2 linked regions of the Rhinolophus ferrumequinum genome follow. The protein of the gene in region 2 purifies or fractionates together with the protein of the main gene of each other region. This does not show direct contact. Links are inferred from orthologs where the notes say so. Each region holds a gene or a part of one and is shown on either strand. Other genes may lie near its edges. The genes, in order: AP2S1 and NECAP2.

Evidence for each region.
Region 1: the proteins of NECAP2 (region 2) and AP2S1 purify together in Homo sapiens (affinity purification with mass spectrometry; 3 studies listed by BioGRID and IntAct, counting the BioPlex papers as one, with this or other methods). This does not show direct contact. The link is inferred for Rhinolophus ferrumequinum from reciprocal best matches to the Homo sapiens genes NECAP2 and AP2S1.

The regions. Positions count from the first base shown.
Region 1 is NC_046298.1:42,935,263-42,943,032, forward strand, and holds the start of AP2S1 (AP-2 complex subunit sigma), read right to left. Parts: upstream 3,425-7,770; 5' UTR 3,229-3,424; coding exon 3,226-3,228; intron 323-3,225; coding exon 173-322; intron 1-172. UniProt on the Homo sapiens protein: Component of the adaptor protein complex 2 (AP-2). Adaptor protein complexes function in protein transport via transport vesicles in different membrane traffic pathways.
Region 2 is NC_046292.1:11,052,388-11,060,074, forward strand, and holds the start of NECAP2 (adaptin ear-binding coat-associated protein 2), read left to right. Parts: upstream 1-4,538; 5' UTR 4,539-4,591; coding exon 4,592-4,683; intron 4,684-6,830; coding exon 6,831-6,931; intron 6,932-7,687. UniProt on the Homo sapiens protein: Involved in endocytosis.

The sequences.
Region 1 (7,770 bases), on a different chromosome or scaffold from region 2:
AACAGGGAAGGAAGACGGCAAGCTAAAAGTGTGTTAAGTGAATGAATGAATGAATGAATGAATGCTGGAAGGAAGGAGGGGTCTGAGGGGTTACTGCAATCAGAGGTTGGGCAGGAGGCTGGAAAGGAAGCAGGGGATTGTGGGAGGCATGGGGTGGGTGGGGGAGCATCACCTCTACAAAGTTGGTGTGTTTGGCATCTCGGACAGTGACCACAGCGTGCACTTCCTCGATCAACTTCTGTTTCTCATCATCATCAAATTGCATGTACCACTTGGCCAGGCGCGTCTTGCCCGCCCTGTTCTGGATAAGGATGAAGCGGATCTGGGGGCAGCAGGAGGAGGAAGTGAGAGCGGCAGGGAGGGAGGGCCAATGCTACACCCAACAGCCCCACCCATCGCCACCAGGGAGATAGGGTCCAAGCCTCCCTGCTGCCTGCCTTCCCCAGAGCCCAGCCAGGCCGACCTGACCACGTGCTCCCGTCCCAGGTCCCTCCAGTACCCTCTGTAGAGTGATTTCTCTTCCACCAAGTGGTCAACTCCACTCAGCTCCAGGGCCCTGAGTCCCAAGGCTGCACCCCTTCTTGTCTGCCTGACCTTGGACAAAAGATCCACCCCTCTACGCCTCAGTTCCCCCAATGGCAAAACAAGTTTATAAAATGAGTCCAGTGGCTGATAACATAGCAGGCACCCAGTAACTGAGTGTCATTCTTTGGCCTGAGTCCGGTAATGCCAACTTCTTTATTTCTTTTTACTTTTTAAAAATTGAGATATAATTCACATACCATAAAATTCACCTAAAATGTGTACAGTTAAGTGGTTTTTAATATATTCATACAATTGTGCAAAAAACATCACTATCTAATTCCAGAATATTTTCATCACCCCAAAAAGAAACCCCGACTAAGTAGCAGTCACTTTCCCTCCTCCCAGCCCCTAACAACCACTAATCTCTCTGTCTCTGTGGATTTGCCTGTTCTGGACATTTCATATAAGTGGAATACACCATATATGGCCTTTTGTGCCTGGCTTCTTTCACTCAGCATAATGTTTTCAAGGTTCATCCATGTAGTAGTATATATCAGCACTTCATTTCTTTTTATGGCTGCATAATATTCCACTGTACGGATAAATCTCGTTTGGTTTATCTTTCCATCAGCTGATGGACATTTGGGCTGTTTCCACTTTTTGGTGATTCTGAGAATACTGCTAAGATCACTTGTGTATACGTTTTTATGTGGACATGTTTTCATTTCTCTTGGGTAGACATCTAGGAGTGGACTTGTTGGGTTCTACGTGTAACTTTTCCAGGAACTGCTAAACTGTTTTCCAAAGCATCTGCTGCTTCCTAAGTGACTTGACTGCTTAGTGCCTCAGTTTATCCACCTAAAAAATAGGGCCATATAAGGGTGTGATGAGGAACAAACAACATCTGAGAAGTACCCAGAGTAGTGCCTGGTTCAGATAATACACAGTGTCCACTATGATTACTAGGAAAATTGTTTGTATGATTCTAAAATGCCAGGTCAACCGTCACAGGGCTACTAAGAAAACTGAAGGAGTTAATGCCAGGAGTGCTTGCTTAGCAGGGTGCCTACTACCTATCAAGCATTCAATAAAATTAGCTATTATTATGATTGAGGGACATTAAGAACACAAACTCTAGAGTCTGAATGAATCTTGGCACTGCTCACTGTGTTCATGGGAAGCCACTTAACCTTTCTGGACCTTAGTTTCCCCTTCTGTATAACAGACATAATGAGAGTCCTTCCCTCATAAGACCGTTGCACAGCTTAATAAACATAAGGGGTGTAGTATAGTGACTAGCCCATACTAAGTGACATATACTCGTTAGTATTAGTTCTTCGTATTATAATTCATCATCATTTGACTTTGAGAAAATCATGGCCCAGCTAGGAAGGCTGCCTTTGAGCCCAGTTCTGGTTGAGACAGGCATGCTTTATGCCCATTTTATAGATGAAGAAACTGAGGCTCAGAGAAGAAGTCTCACAGTCAGCAAGCAGAGCTGGGAGTCCAATGGCTTTGTTCTGAACCCCCTTACCCCTGCCTTGTGGGAGTCTCCACCCTTTCATGAAAGACCATTCTCTTTCCTAAGCCTTTCTCCATATACTCTCTCCCCTAACCCCAACCAATCAAGCTGGCTGGGAACAGGATATTGCACTTTCCTTCCAGAATCCCTTCTGCTGAGGCTAGGGAAAACCACTTCCTAGCAGGGCAGGGGTGCTGGTCAGGAAGGGAAAGGGCTTGGGGTGGAGGTGGGTGGGACCCACCTCAGGCAGCCACAGCCTAGGGGTAGAGCCGGGATATATGGGCATACAGGAAGGAGACCAGGAAGCAAACCTATTGGAGCTGAGGCAAAGCTGTTCTGACACCACCCCCCATTCATCTCTTTTTCCCTACTTCCTGCCCAAAGAAATCCTTTCTTATGGTTCAAAAGCCATACCCGGGGACGGGTGCTAAATCCAATGGCCCGTCCTTGCTCCACAAACGCCATCTCTCATTTCCATGCCTAATCCGACCCCCCCAACTCAGCTCTCCTTGGAAAGACCTGTTCCATTGCGCCCCATTCATTTCTAGTATCCACTCCCTACCTCCAAGCCTTCTTCCCCCTTTGCAGCACTTTCCCCGACTCTAAACCCATTCCCTACAGTTGTCTACTTCCCGTCTCCACTGTCCAGTCTCTTCCCCTGGGATTATCTCTCATCAGCAGTATCTCGCTCGTTTTCAACACCCCCTCTCCCGCCTGTAATGCCAGCTTCCTGCCTCTAGAGACCCCTTCTCTCTATCCCTATGTCTCTTATTCTTCTCCCACGCTCCTGCTACACTCCTAGAGAGCCCTCATCTCAGGACACCTCCATCCCACCTCCAATTCCTTCTCCCCACCTCCGAGACCCTGCTTTGTCAGTTGCCTCCGTTTTCAAAGCCCCCCAATCATCACCAATGTCCTCCCACCCGCACAACCCTCTCCCCTTGACACCTGATCTCAATGTCCCTAGCCTCCAGTCTCGGGTACACCCCCCCGCGCCCAGAATTACCATTCAGTTCCCCCCTTTCTGGCCTGTGACCGGTCCCAATCCCGAGAGCCCGCGCCCGGCCCAGACCATTGCCACAGCAGCGGGGGGCGACTGTCAGTACCCAGCCGAGCCTCCAGTATCTGCACGTGGACCCACCCTCCTCCTGTCCCCAGCGTGAGCGCGGCCCCGTTACCATGGCGACCCCCGTCCGGACCCCAGCTGGCCCGGTCCCGCGGCGACTGGGCGGCTCCGGCTCTGGAAGCAGTTGGAGGACCCAGGGCTAGAGCGGACTTCCGGCAGAGGAACCCTCTTGCCCTATCGCGCACTTCCCGCTGGGAATTGTAGTCCCAAGAATGGGTTTGCTCGTTCGGGCGGCAGGCCAGTGGAAGACACGATCATTCTTCCAACATGCTGGCGCGCTCCTGTCCGTTTCCCACCAGACGGGTCATGCTCCAAATGCATGCCGGGAGTTGTCGGTGCACTTCTTCAGAAGACTACAATTCCCGAAATGCACGTTGGGCGTTACATTCTGGGAAATGTAGTTCTAGTAGACCCTTCCTTCCCCCGCCCCCCGCCCCCGCACCACTTTCAAGGAAAGAAGGGCATGCTGGGAATAGTAGTTTTAAATAAGAAACTGCGTTTGGGGGAGCTAGAAATGTAACTGTCTTTCGGTGCTCACTTAGTGCTTTGTTTAAAATACCTTGAGTGTTTCTCTGTGGAAGACGGACAGTAGCATATGAGCATTTTGGGAGTCAGAAGTCACACCCTGTTATTTCCGCAATGTCCTACAGGTACACAAATCAGCCCTATCCAGTGTAGGAGGGGATATGAATACCAGGTTAGAATCATTGCAGTCTATCCTGAAACCTGACTACTACAATTGCTTATAGCGGAGGCACCTAGTCTAGGTGAAGACTTAGGGACAAACCTCCCAGAGGGAGTGGCATTTGAGCCGAGATCCGAAGATGAGTGGAAATTAACCAAGCAATGATTATCGTAGGTGGGGGCTGGGGAAGGCAAGGCAGGCAGAGTGCTCAAGCAGGGGCACAGACTTTGTCTCTGCCCCCAGGAATCTCACAGCCTGGGTGGTTGGAGCCTGAGGTGACATTCCACAGAAATAGACGGAAAGGACTAGTCCCAGCACTTTAGTATGAGTATGGACCCTGGAAAGATTCTCTCCTTTGCCATGTCATTACAGCATGCTTGTTATAGGGAAAAATTGGAAAGAGACAAAATATGCATCAATAGAGGAAAACTCAATCACATGCAGTCACATAAAATATTATGCAACGAGAGTTACGATGAGTGAGCAAGATCTCTGTGCATTGACTTGGACGATCCCTAGGACATGTTGTTGAAGAAACAAAGGGAGATGCAGAGTGACACGTATACAGTGTGTCATTTGATTTTTCTTTTTATTTATCTCTCCAACTTTTTGCATAGAAAGTTTTCATATCTACAAAAAGTTGTAGTATTAGCACAATGAACTCCAATGTATTATTCATCTTGATTCACTAATTGTTGATATCTTGCCACATTTACTCTCTCTATATTTATTTGAACCATTTTAAGTGAGTTGCAAATATCATGCTATTTCATCCCAAAAGGCTTCATGCTTCAACATTCCTCTTAAGAACAAAGACGTCTCCTCCATAAACATACAATGATACATTCAGGAAATTTAAATAGTAATACTACACTGGCAGATCTTGCTCTGTAGGATCAGCCCCTGCCAACAGCTCTTCCACTATAGTCAAGGCCAATCCTCATAATCAGTGAGCCTAAGAATCAGTCCCTCACATTGATGTGCAATTATCAACCAAGGCTCAACTACACGAGGAGGGCACACACAACCCAAACAAGGGACTCACCTGGAGTGCGTGGCTCAGATCACCAGAAAGACTGTGGCACTGAACTCCACAGCACACCTACTACATAAGGCCACTCTACTAAGATTGGAAGATGTAACAGCCCTACCTAATACATAGAAACAAACACAGGGAGGCAGCCAAAATGGGGAGACAAAGAAACATGTCCCAACAAAAGAACAGAACAAAGCTCCAGCAAAAGAACTAAGTGAAACGGAGATAAGCAATCTATCAGACGCAGAGTTCCAACACTGGTTATAAGAATGCTCAGTGATCTCATAAAAATGAGATGGAAACCATAAAAAAGAACAAACAGTCAGAAATAAAGGATACAATAATGGAAACAAAGACTATATTACAGGGAATCAACAGTAGATTAGATGAAGTAGAGGATCCAACCAGCAATGTAGAAGATAAGGTAGCAGAAAACACCCAACCAGAACAGGAAAAGAAAAAAGAACCCAAACAATTGAGGAGAGGTTAAGGGGCCTCTAGGACAATATCAAGTGTACCAACAGTCACATTATAGGGGTACCAGAAGGAGAAGTGAGACAGCAAGGAATTGAAAACCTATTTGAAGAAATAATGACAGAAAACTTCCCTAACCTGGTGAAGGAAATGGACATATAAGCCCAGGAAGCACAGAGAGTCACAAACAAGATAATCCAAAGAGGCCAACACCGTGACACATCATAATTAAAATGCCAAAGATTGAAAACAAAGAGAGAATCTTAAAGCAGCAAGAGAAAAGCAGTTAATTACCTATAAGGGAGCCCCCCATAAGACTGTCAAGCTGATTTCTCAACAGAAACTTTGCAGGCAAGAAGGGAGTGGCAGAAAAATACTCCAAGTGATGAAAAAGCAACAACATACAACCAAGATTGTTTCTACCCAGCAAAGGCTGTCATTTCGAATTGAGGGACAGATAAGGAGCTCCCCAGAGAAGAAAGAAACTGAAGGAGGTCATCACCACCAAACCAGTATTACAAGGAATCTTAGAGGGACTTTTTTATGATGGGAGAGGGGTTAAGGACAGGTGAAAGGGGAAGGGATTAAGAAGTACAATGGGTTGTTATACAGTAGTCATGGCGATGTAGGGTATAGCATAAGGAATATAGTTAACAATACTGTAATAACTAGGTATGGCATCAGATAGGCACTAGATCTGTCAGGGGTGATAGATGGGAATGGGGTTGGGGGCAGGGTGAAGAAGGTGAAGGCACTAAGAAATACAAATTGGTAGTTAATACAGTATGGGGAATATAATCAACAATGTTGCAAAGATCATGTAAGGTGTCAGATGGGCACTGGACTTATCAGGGGATCGCGTCATAGACTATGTAGATGCCTGACCAATGCGCTATACACCTGAAGCTGAAGTAGGATAATATGAATGTCAACTATAACTAAATATATAGGTATATATAGTCACAGGATGTGGAGTACAACATAGAGAAGAAAGTCGATGGTATTATAACAGCTATATAAGATGTCAGAGGGGTAGTAGCTTGGAAGGTGGGTTATCACTTTATGAGGGGTTTAAATGTCTAACTATTATGTTGCTTTGTACGCCTGAAACTAATAAAAAAATCAGTACAAATTGGTAGTTACAAAATAGTCACAGGTATGTAAAGTACAGCAATAGAGAATATGGTCAATAATGTCTCAACAACTATGTATATTGCCAGGTGGGTACTAGACTAATCGAGGGATCATTGCATAAGCTATATAAATGTTTAACATTCAGGTGCTACACACCTGAAACTAATATAAAATAATATTGAGTATCAACTGTAATTGACATAAATAAGCACTTTTTTAAAAGGCGAAAAATATTAATACTACACTACTATCTAATATAGGTCCATATAAAAATATCCCTGATCATCTCAGTAATATTCCTTATAGATTTTTTTTTCTGTTCCAGGATCTGGAACAATTGGTACACAAATCTGATTTCTGTTCAATTGAATCCAGAATCATAGGTTGTATTTAACTGTCACGTTCCTTTAGCCTTATTAAATCTGGAACAGTTCCCTTGTCTTGTTAGTATTTCAAGAGGTTGGCATTTTCTAAGAGTCCATGTTTCTACATGATTAGATCCAGGTTTGACATTTTTTGTCAGGAATATCACATAAGTGATGCCGTGTCCTTCTTAGAGTATCCGGCTGGGGGCATGTGATGTTGGTTGGTTTCATCCTTGGTGATATTAAGTTTGACCACTTAATTTCTGTCATATATTTCTTTTCTTTTAAATTAAAGTTTATTGTGGTGACAATTGTTAGTAAAGAGTATATTTCTTTTAAAAGTTATGTGATCCCAAAAGCATAAGCAACAACAAAAAATGTAAATTGAACATAAAAATTAAAAACTTTAATTTTGCATCAAAGGACTATCAAGAGTGACAAGACAAGCCAGAGAATGGGAGAAAATCTTTGCAAACACATATCTGGTAAGGGATTATTATCCAGAGTACATGAAGAACTACAACTCAACAACTCATCAAAAAATGGGCAAAGAGAGGCGGCCGGATGGCTCAGTTGGTTAGAGCGCAGAGCTCATCACACCCAGGTCGCCGGTTTGATTCCCACATGGGCCAGTGAGCTACACCTTCCACAACTAGAGTGAAATGACTTGACTTGGAGCTGAGCTGCGCCCTCCACAATTAGATTGAAAAACAAAACAAAACAACAACTTGACTTGGAGCTGATAGGTCCTGGAAAAACACACTGCTCCCCATATTCCCCAACAAAAATTAAAAAAAAAATTTGGCAAGAGGGGCAGCCGGTTAACTCAGTTGGTTAGAGCACGGTGCTCTTAACAAGGTTGCTGGTTAGATTATCACATAGGCCAGTGAGCTGTGCCCTCCA
Region 2 (7,687 bases):
TCAGAAAGCGCAGTCTCAACCTCAGAATTCTCAGGCCCCAATATTCCACAAGCTGAAGTTTGAAGGGGGCAGAGGCTCCAGAGGGGATCCAGCCCCCCCGTCTCCGTTCCCATTGGAAGCTTACAAACTGGGAATCTGGACAAGAAGGGGAAGAGCCCAACCCTAGCAGAAAGGCATGGAATCTGAGGACAGACTTGAGGGGGGTGGGTGGCCAATATAGACTGTGCCCCCTTTTCAGGACACTTGGTTCCCTTTTTTTTCACAGCTTTATCGAGATTTAATTCACATACCATACAACTCACCCATTTAAAGTATACAATTCAATGGCTTTTCGTATATTCAGAGAATTTTACAATCACCACCCTTAGCACATTTTTTGTCACCCCGAAAAGAAAGCCCACACCGCTTAGCCATCCCCTCATCTCACGTACCCCACCCCCCGCCCGAGGCAACCACCAATCTACTTTCTGTCTCATAGATTTGCCTATGCTGGACATTTCATGTAAATGGAATCATACACTATGTGGTCCGTGGTGACTGGCTTCTTTCATTTAGCAAAGTGTTTTCAAGGCTCATCCATGTTGTAGCTTGTATCAGCCCTTCATTCCTTTTTATGGCCCATATACCACATTTTGTATATCCATTCATCAGTTGCTAGACATTTGAGTTGTTTCCACTTATTGGCTATTATGAATAATGCTTCTATGAATATTTGTGTACAAATTTTTGTGTGAACATGTTTTCATTTCTCTTGTACATATATACGAGCAGTGGACTTGCTGGGTCATATGGTAACTCTATGTTTAGCCTCTTGAGTAATTACCAGACTGTTTTTCAAAGTGGCTGCATCATTTTACATTCCTCCAAGCAGTGTATGAGGGTTCCAATTTTTCCACATTCTCACCAAGACTTGTTATTATCCAACTTTTAAAAATAATTCCAGCCATCCTAGAATTATGTGTTCATGTGAAGTGGTATCTCACTGTGGTTTTAATTTGCATTTCCCTAATGACTAATGGTGTTGAGCATCTTTTCATGTGCTTCTTGCCATTTGTATATCTTCCTTGGAAAAATGTCTATTCAGGTCCGTGGTCCATATATAAATTGGGTATTTGTCTTTTTATTATTGAATGGTAAGTGTTCTTTGTATATTCTAGATGCAAGTCTTTTGTCAGATACATAATTTGCAATATTTTCCTCACGTTATGTGAATTGTATTTTCCATTTTTTGTCCTTTGAAACACAAAAGTTTTCAATTTTGTTAAAGTCCCATTTATCTACTTTTTCTTTTGCTTTTTTTTTTGCTGCTTATGTTTTTAGTGTCATATTTAAGAATCCATTAGATTCTTTTTATTATAACATAAATCCAAGGTCATGGAGATTTATGTCTATGCTTTATTCTAAGAGTTGTATAGTTTTAGCTTTTACATTTAGGTCTATTATCCATTTTGAATTAATTTTTGTATATGGTGTGAGGTAGGGGTCCAACTTCATTCTTTTGCATGTGGATATATCATCCGAGAATCATTTGAAAAGACTATTCTTTCTCTACTGAATTTTCTTAGCATGTTTACGAACAGTCAACTGACTGTAAATGTGAGAGTTTATTTCTGGATTCTCAATTCTGTTCCATTGATCTATATGTCTATCCTTATGCCAGTAATACATTGTCTTGATTAATGTAGCTCATTAGTAAGTTTTGAGATCTGGAAGTGTAAGTCCTCTAACTTTGTTCTTTTTTTTTTTAATTAAAGTATAATTGACATACAATATAATATTTGTTTCAGGTAATTCGACATATTTCCTATGATGTGATCACAATAAGTCTAGTAACCATCTGTCACCATACAAAGTTATTAAAATAATATTTATTATTTCCCCTATGCTGTACATTACATCTATGAGAATTTTTTTCTTAATAACTGGAGGTTTGTACCCCTTATGCCCCTTCACTCTTTTCACCCATACCCCACCCCCCTCCCCTCTGGCAACCATCAGTTTGTTCTCTGTATCTATGAGTCTGTTTCTGTTTTATTTGTTTGTTTTGTATTTTCAGATTCCACACGTCAACTTTGTTCTTTTTCAAAATTGTTTTGGTATCGAGTGCTCTTTTATAAGTATTTTCCCCATCTGAGAAATGGGTGAACTTCTCTTATAAAATGTTTGTGATGGTAGGAAAACACAACAGAGAAAGATGATAAGTGACCTATAATATATATGTCTGGAGGCCACCAAGGAAAACTGCTCACATCCAACCCCCGCTCCCCTTGGCCCTGGACCAACAAGAAAACAGCTGGATAAATCACAGAGAGATTTTACAACCCCGCTCACCTCCTCACACATAAGATGGGCTCTCTCTGAGCCTATTCTCTGCCTGTTGGGTTGAATTGAATTCTTTTGGTAAATACTGTAGTTAACCTGGGAGTAGATGGTAGGTTCAGTTATTCTTAGCAACAGAGGTTTAGGAACGCATTTAGGGAATGTCCAGCCATGTGGTTGGGTTTTGAGAATAAGGCAAGGGGACTGTCTGACCTCCAACTAGAAGGCACTGTAGTTTCCCTGGGCTTGTCACTGTTTCAGTGGCCTTCATTACACAATGAGGATAACAATCCTTGCCCTGTCTACCTCACAGGGATTATTGTCAAGGTAACCTCTTCCAGAGAGCCATCCCTGACTGCCCCCAGGTTGCGTGGGTTTCTCTTCTCTTCACTCCTACAGGCCCCTGTGAGTTTCCTCCATCATAACACTTTTCACTCTGCATTGCAAATGACTCTTTTCTTCTCTGTCTCCTCTCTGGTCTGTGAGCTCCATGAAGGCAGAGCAGGGTCAGCCTTATCTCTGTGGCCCTAGCACCCAGCACCTGGCATCTGGTAGGTACTCACTCAATGCCCATCTTTGTTAGACTGAACTGAACTGAAAGTGCTCTGAACACATTGTAAGGCCTGGCTGCCCCTGGCACAGAGTGATGATCCCCTTTGAGGCTGATGAGAGAAAGGTTTTCTACCTGTGGCAGCCACATGGCAAGGCCCAGAAGAGTCACTGAGGGTCACCTCCCCACTGCTTGGCTTCCAGAGCGGAAATGATGGAACTCGGTGCTGATGGTAGACGCTACCCCAAAGCTGGTCCTAGGTGCTCTCCAAGATGGAAGTTTCTCTGACTCAGTGGGTCCAGGTGCTTTCCTTCTGTGATACTTGATTTTCCCATGTTGTTCAGCACATGTAAGGAATCAGAGTATGAAAGAGAAAACACAGTGGCCCATTCCCAAATTGCCCCTTGGCCTTGGAATGCAGCCAACTGAAAACACACACTGTCGGGGACAGAGTCCCAGAGAGCAGTTTCCAGGCTCTGGGGCTTGCGTGGGGAGGTGCTGGCTCGGGTAGTGAATGACCATCAACTGTGATTAGTTGGCCATCAGCTGTAACCGGTTAGCCAATTGGCTACTGATGTAACTGCAGGGCTGCGTTGATTGGTTGGTTGGTTGGCAGGCAGAGAAGTGAATGGCGGACTGTGGGTCATGTGGCTACTACTGCGTGTGTCTTCCCAGCCTTCAGTGAGACTATAGTGGCATGACTCCCCTACCTATGGCTCCGTGGGTGTTCCTTCTTGGCCTCACCATATCCTGCGTTCTTATGTGGGGAGCGGGACCAGAGGCCCCGCAGGCTGCCCCGCACGACAGACACACACACACACACACACACACACACACACACTCACTCATTTACTCTTTCACTGCGCACTTACTCTGTGCCAGGACACTAAATACAGCAGTCTACAGGTGGCAGGGACGGGGCCCTACATTGAAGCTCACAGTCTAGTGGGAAAACAGACATATAAACTGACCGGTGAGAATATAAGGGGATAAGATTTGTCTGTGTGGGAGTGTGTCCTCACCTCCGTCTTAATACCTCTCCCCCTCTATCATCTAAGGGGAGTTCTCTCTTTGCCCCTCCAGGACTTTAGCAAGATGAGAGTCAGGATCAAAGAACTGGGAGGAAGAAATATCATTTTCTGGGTCATTTCTCAATTTCTTCTTTAATGTGCAGAAGCAGGGTAATGAGCAAAGTTGAAATTAGAAGTTATGCCAATTCACATAATGAGAGATTAACTTCACACTCTCCTGGATGACTATGACCAAAGATAGAAAATAAGTATTGGTGAAGTTGAGGAAAATTGGAACCCTTGTTCGCCGCTGGTGAGAATGTAAAACGGTGGAGCCGGAGTGGAAAACAGTTTGGGGGCTTCTCCTAAAGCTAAACATAGAAATGTCATATGGCTCAGCGAGTCCACTCCTAGATACATACTCAAGAGAACTGAAAACAAGAACTCGAACAGGTATTTGTACTCTGCCGCGCACGAGGCCTTGTGGGAGGGGGAAGCCCCTGGAGAACCCCAGTCCTCATCAGGGGGATTCCTGGGTCCGACCGCCGTATGTCTTGAGCCAGGGCTTCCAGCAGAGGGCGCCGGAGCGATGTGGTGCTGAGGTCCCGAGCTGCCGCTCTAGCCTGACCCAGGTCATAGAGTCGCGCCGCTTCCGGCACCCCCGCTCCAGGCTGGGAAGGAGCCGGAAGTCTGGCGGGCTCCGGGCATCGCAATGGAGGAGGGCGAGTACGAGTCGGTGCTCTGCGTCAAGCCAGAAGTGCACATCTACCGCATCCCGCCACGGGCCACCAACCGTGGCTACAGGTGACTGCCCACCACCGGGCCAGGCTAGCCCCAACTTAATCCCTTCCCCGCCGCCCGGCACGCCCACTGTTGGGAGCTGAGGATGGTTACGGCCAGCTTAGGGGCGAGGGGAGGTAATGCTCAGGTTTCTCTCGGTTCTTGGTCAGAGCTGGAAGGGAAGCCCAGAATTTTGGCCGTCTAGGTCCAACGCACCGAGCTCCCGGCTGCGGGAAAGGCGTTAAAGCCGTGTCTAGTGTTTGGGGACCCGGTGGGCTGCCAGGTACCCTAAACGTGGTCGGGAGTGGTGGTGTCACAGACTTTTTTCTTTCAGAGCTAGCTGGTGGCCTTGAAGGGATCCTTGAAAAGCCTTAGGGGGGAGGGGACCTATCACAGGCGGAAATCCCGGAGGGGAAGGAAGGGAGCCCAGAACCGGCCGAAAGGACAGGTCCCGGGGGCTTTTAAGCTGATGGCGGAAGCCCAGGGAGCCCTCCCTGTCCAGCTCCCTTCGTGTGAACTTGATACTTTATCGCTGCCTGTGGCAGTTGGGAGGAATCCATCCACACTTCTCTGGAGAAATGTTCCTGAGACGAATAAACACATATACTCGTAGACTATCTGGAAGGGAACGGGGGTTGAAAGGGGCTTACTTTCACTGTGTACCTTTTTGTACTGTTTGCGTTTTGTTACCGTGTGTATGTATTACTTATCAAAAGAAGACGAAAAATAATTAAAAGAAAAAAAGATTACCTGATACAGACAACCTGGCCTATGGCTATTTTGTGCCACTGGGCGGGGGGTGGGGGTGGGGTGGGGGGTGGTAAGGCGGGGGTGTGCTCTTGAAGGGAGTATTTGTTCAAGTTATTTGGAAATACAGGACTGGCCTGCAAAAGGATGGTGGAGTGTGGACAGATCTCTCCTCTTGTTAATTTCCAGTTGTGTTAATGGGATCATAGCTGATTGGGTAATGAACCCATATTTTGTTGAACACCTGCTGCATCCGTAACATGATTTAAAAATAGCACAAAAATAGTATAAAAGTAGCAAAAACACATTTGCTTTCTGTCATCACTGGAGATGGACCACCAAACCAGTGATGGTTGTCTACCCTCATCCCCTTTCAGTAGGATGGGTTTGACGCCTCTTGGACCCCCAGAGAGCAAGATTACCAAGTGTCAGGACTGGCCGGTTTGGCATAGAGGAAGCTGTCCTTCAATCTCAGAGCTCAGAGTCTAAGGCCTGTCGCCCCAGTAAGAGGAACTGAAACAGCCTGCTGACTTCTGACTTGTGAATTGAGAATCTGCATTTGGGTGGCCTTCCAAACAACCTACATCCACAGTTATAGTGTGTCCCATATGCTTGGGACTTCCAAGAAAAGCTTCTTGGAAACACCCAAAGTTCTTGCTATTAGGGGATTTTACTGAGCGGCTTCTTAGAACTAAAATGTGAAGTTACTGCTTTAAAAGAGCCAAAAGAGGGTATTGCAATAGGTCCATGGTTTCCTGGGTTCCTTTCTGCTTTTCTGCCTAGGATACCTTTGAGAATGTTTCTTAAACACCCGTTCACTTTTCTCGTGTACTGTTGCTCTCCTTTTCTCTGCTAATGATTGCTCCCCTCTCTGCTTTTCCTCCACGATGGTGTCAGTGGTCCCAAATGATCACTGACCACACCAGCCTAGCACTGTCTTCAACAAACAACAAGCCCCAGGAGCTGCTTCCTCTATAGAAATAAAACTGGAATTCCTACTTCAGAGAAGATCTCTAGACTCGTAATCTAGAACTGGGGTCAGCAAACGACGTTCCACTGTTTTTGTATGGCTCACAAGCTAAGACTGGTTTTTATGTTTTTAAGTGTTTGGAGAAATTTTTAAAGAAGACATTTCATGAAGTGAAAATTACATGAAATTCAAATTTTGGTTCATAGTTTCACTGACATACAGCCACACTCTGTAGAAACCATTCGTTTAAAATACTTAAAGCACCAACACACTTACGTACAGCCTTTGACTGCTCTCACTACAATGGCAGAGTGAGTGTTTGTGACAGATTGTGTCGCCGTTTTCAGAGAAGTTCGCCAGTCTCTAGCGCAAGCCTTCCACATGCCCTTCCCATCCTCATCCTCAGCATAGAAGGGAGCCTCCAGCAGAGGCTCAATGGTTTTTGTCCCCTTAGGGCTGCGGAGTGGCAGCTGGACCAGCCATCATGGAGTGGCCGGCTGCGGATCACTGCAAGAGGGCAGGTGGCCTACATCAAGCTGGAGGACAGGACCACAGGTAAAGGCAAGGGAAGTCTGTGTGTGTGGGGCTGAGGTGCCATGCCACTCTGTGAAGGGAGAGGCAGCCCTGGCCTGGCCAGGCCACTGCGGGGTCATGGGAACCTGTCCTGGAAATTAAAAACCCCAGTGTGTACCTTTAAGACCCCAGTGAACCATCCTCCCCACCTTTGGTTGTAGTAACCAGTATCCCCAGATGTTAAAGGCAGTATTTCCTGTCAAGCACTTTTTCTTTTGGAGGGCCCTTAAGAAAATACTAATTTTGGAGTCTAAGGAGAGGAGATCTGTAGGTTGGTCCCAAAAGGGAAGCCCCGGAGCTTGTCTTGAGACGAGCTGGGTGAAGACGCACAGCCCTCTGCTGTGGAGCTCTGGTTCTCACTCAGGAATTCTGTTTATCAGCTAAGTGGTAACTCCCCAGACTGACCACGCCCGTTAACTGAAAGAGCTGGAAACTGGCCGACTCAGCTTTTTCTTTGGTGAGATGAGCTAAGCTGGGCAGTGTTGGGGTCAGCCAGCAGACGCACGTTAGGGGAAATCTCTCCAGAAGTCCTGTGCCACCTGTGCCTCTGGGTGAGCTGCAGAGGGCAGCCCGGCCCCCAGAGCAGGGATTGGGCACAGTGCCTGCCCGGTGCAGCGCCTCGGCATTTGGTCATCTGTTTTTCTAATACGTAGAAATTATCCTTTGTGGGGTGGAATAAAGGGCAAAGATTCATAGGCAAATGAATTCTCAGCACTGCATCGTTTGTGTGTGAGCTGT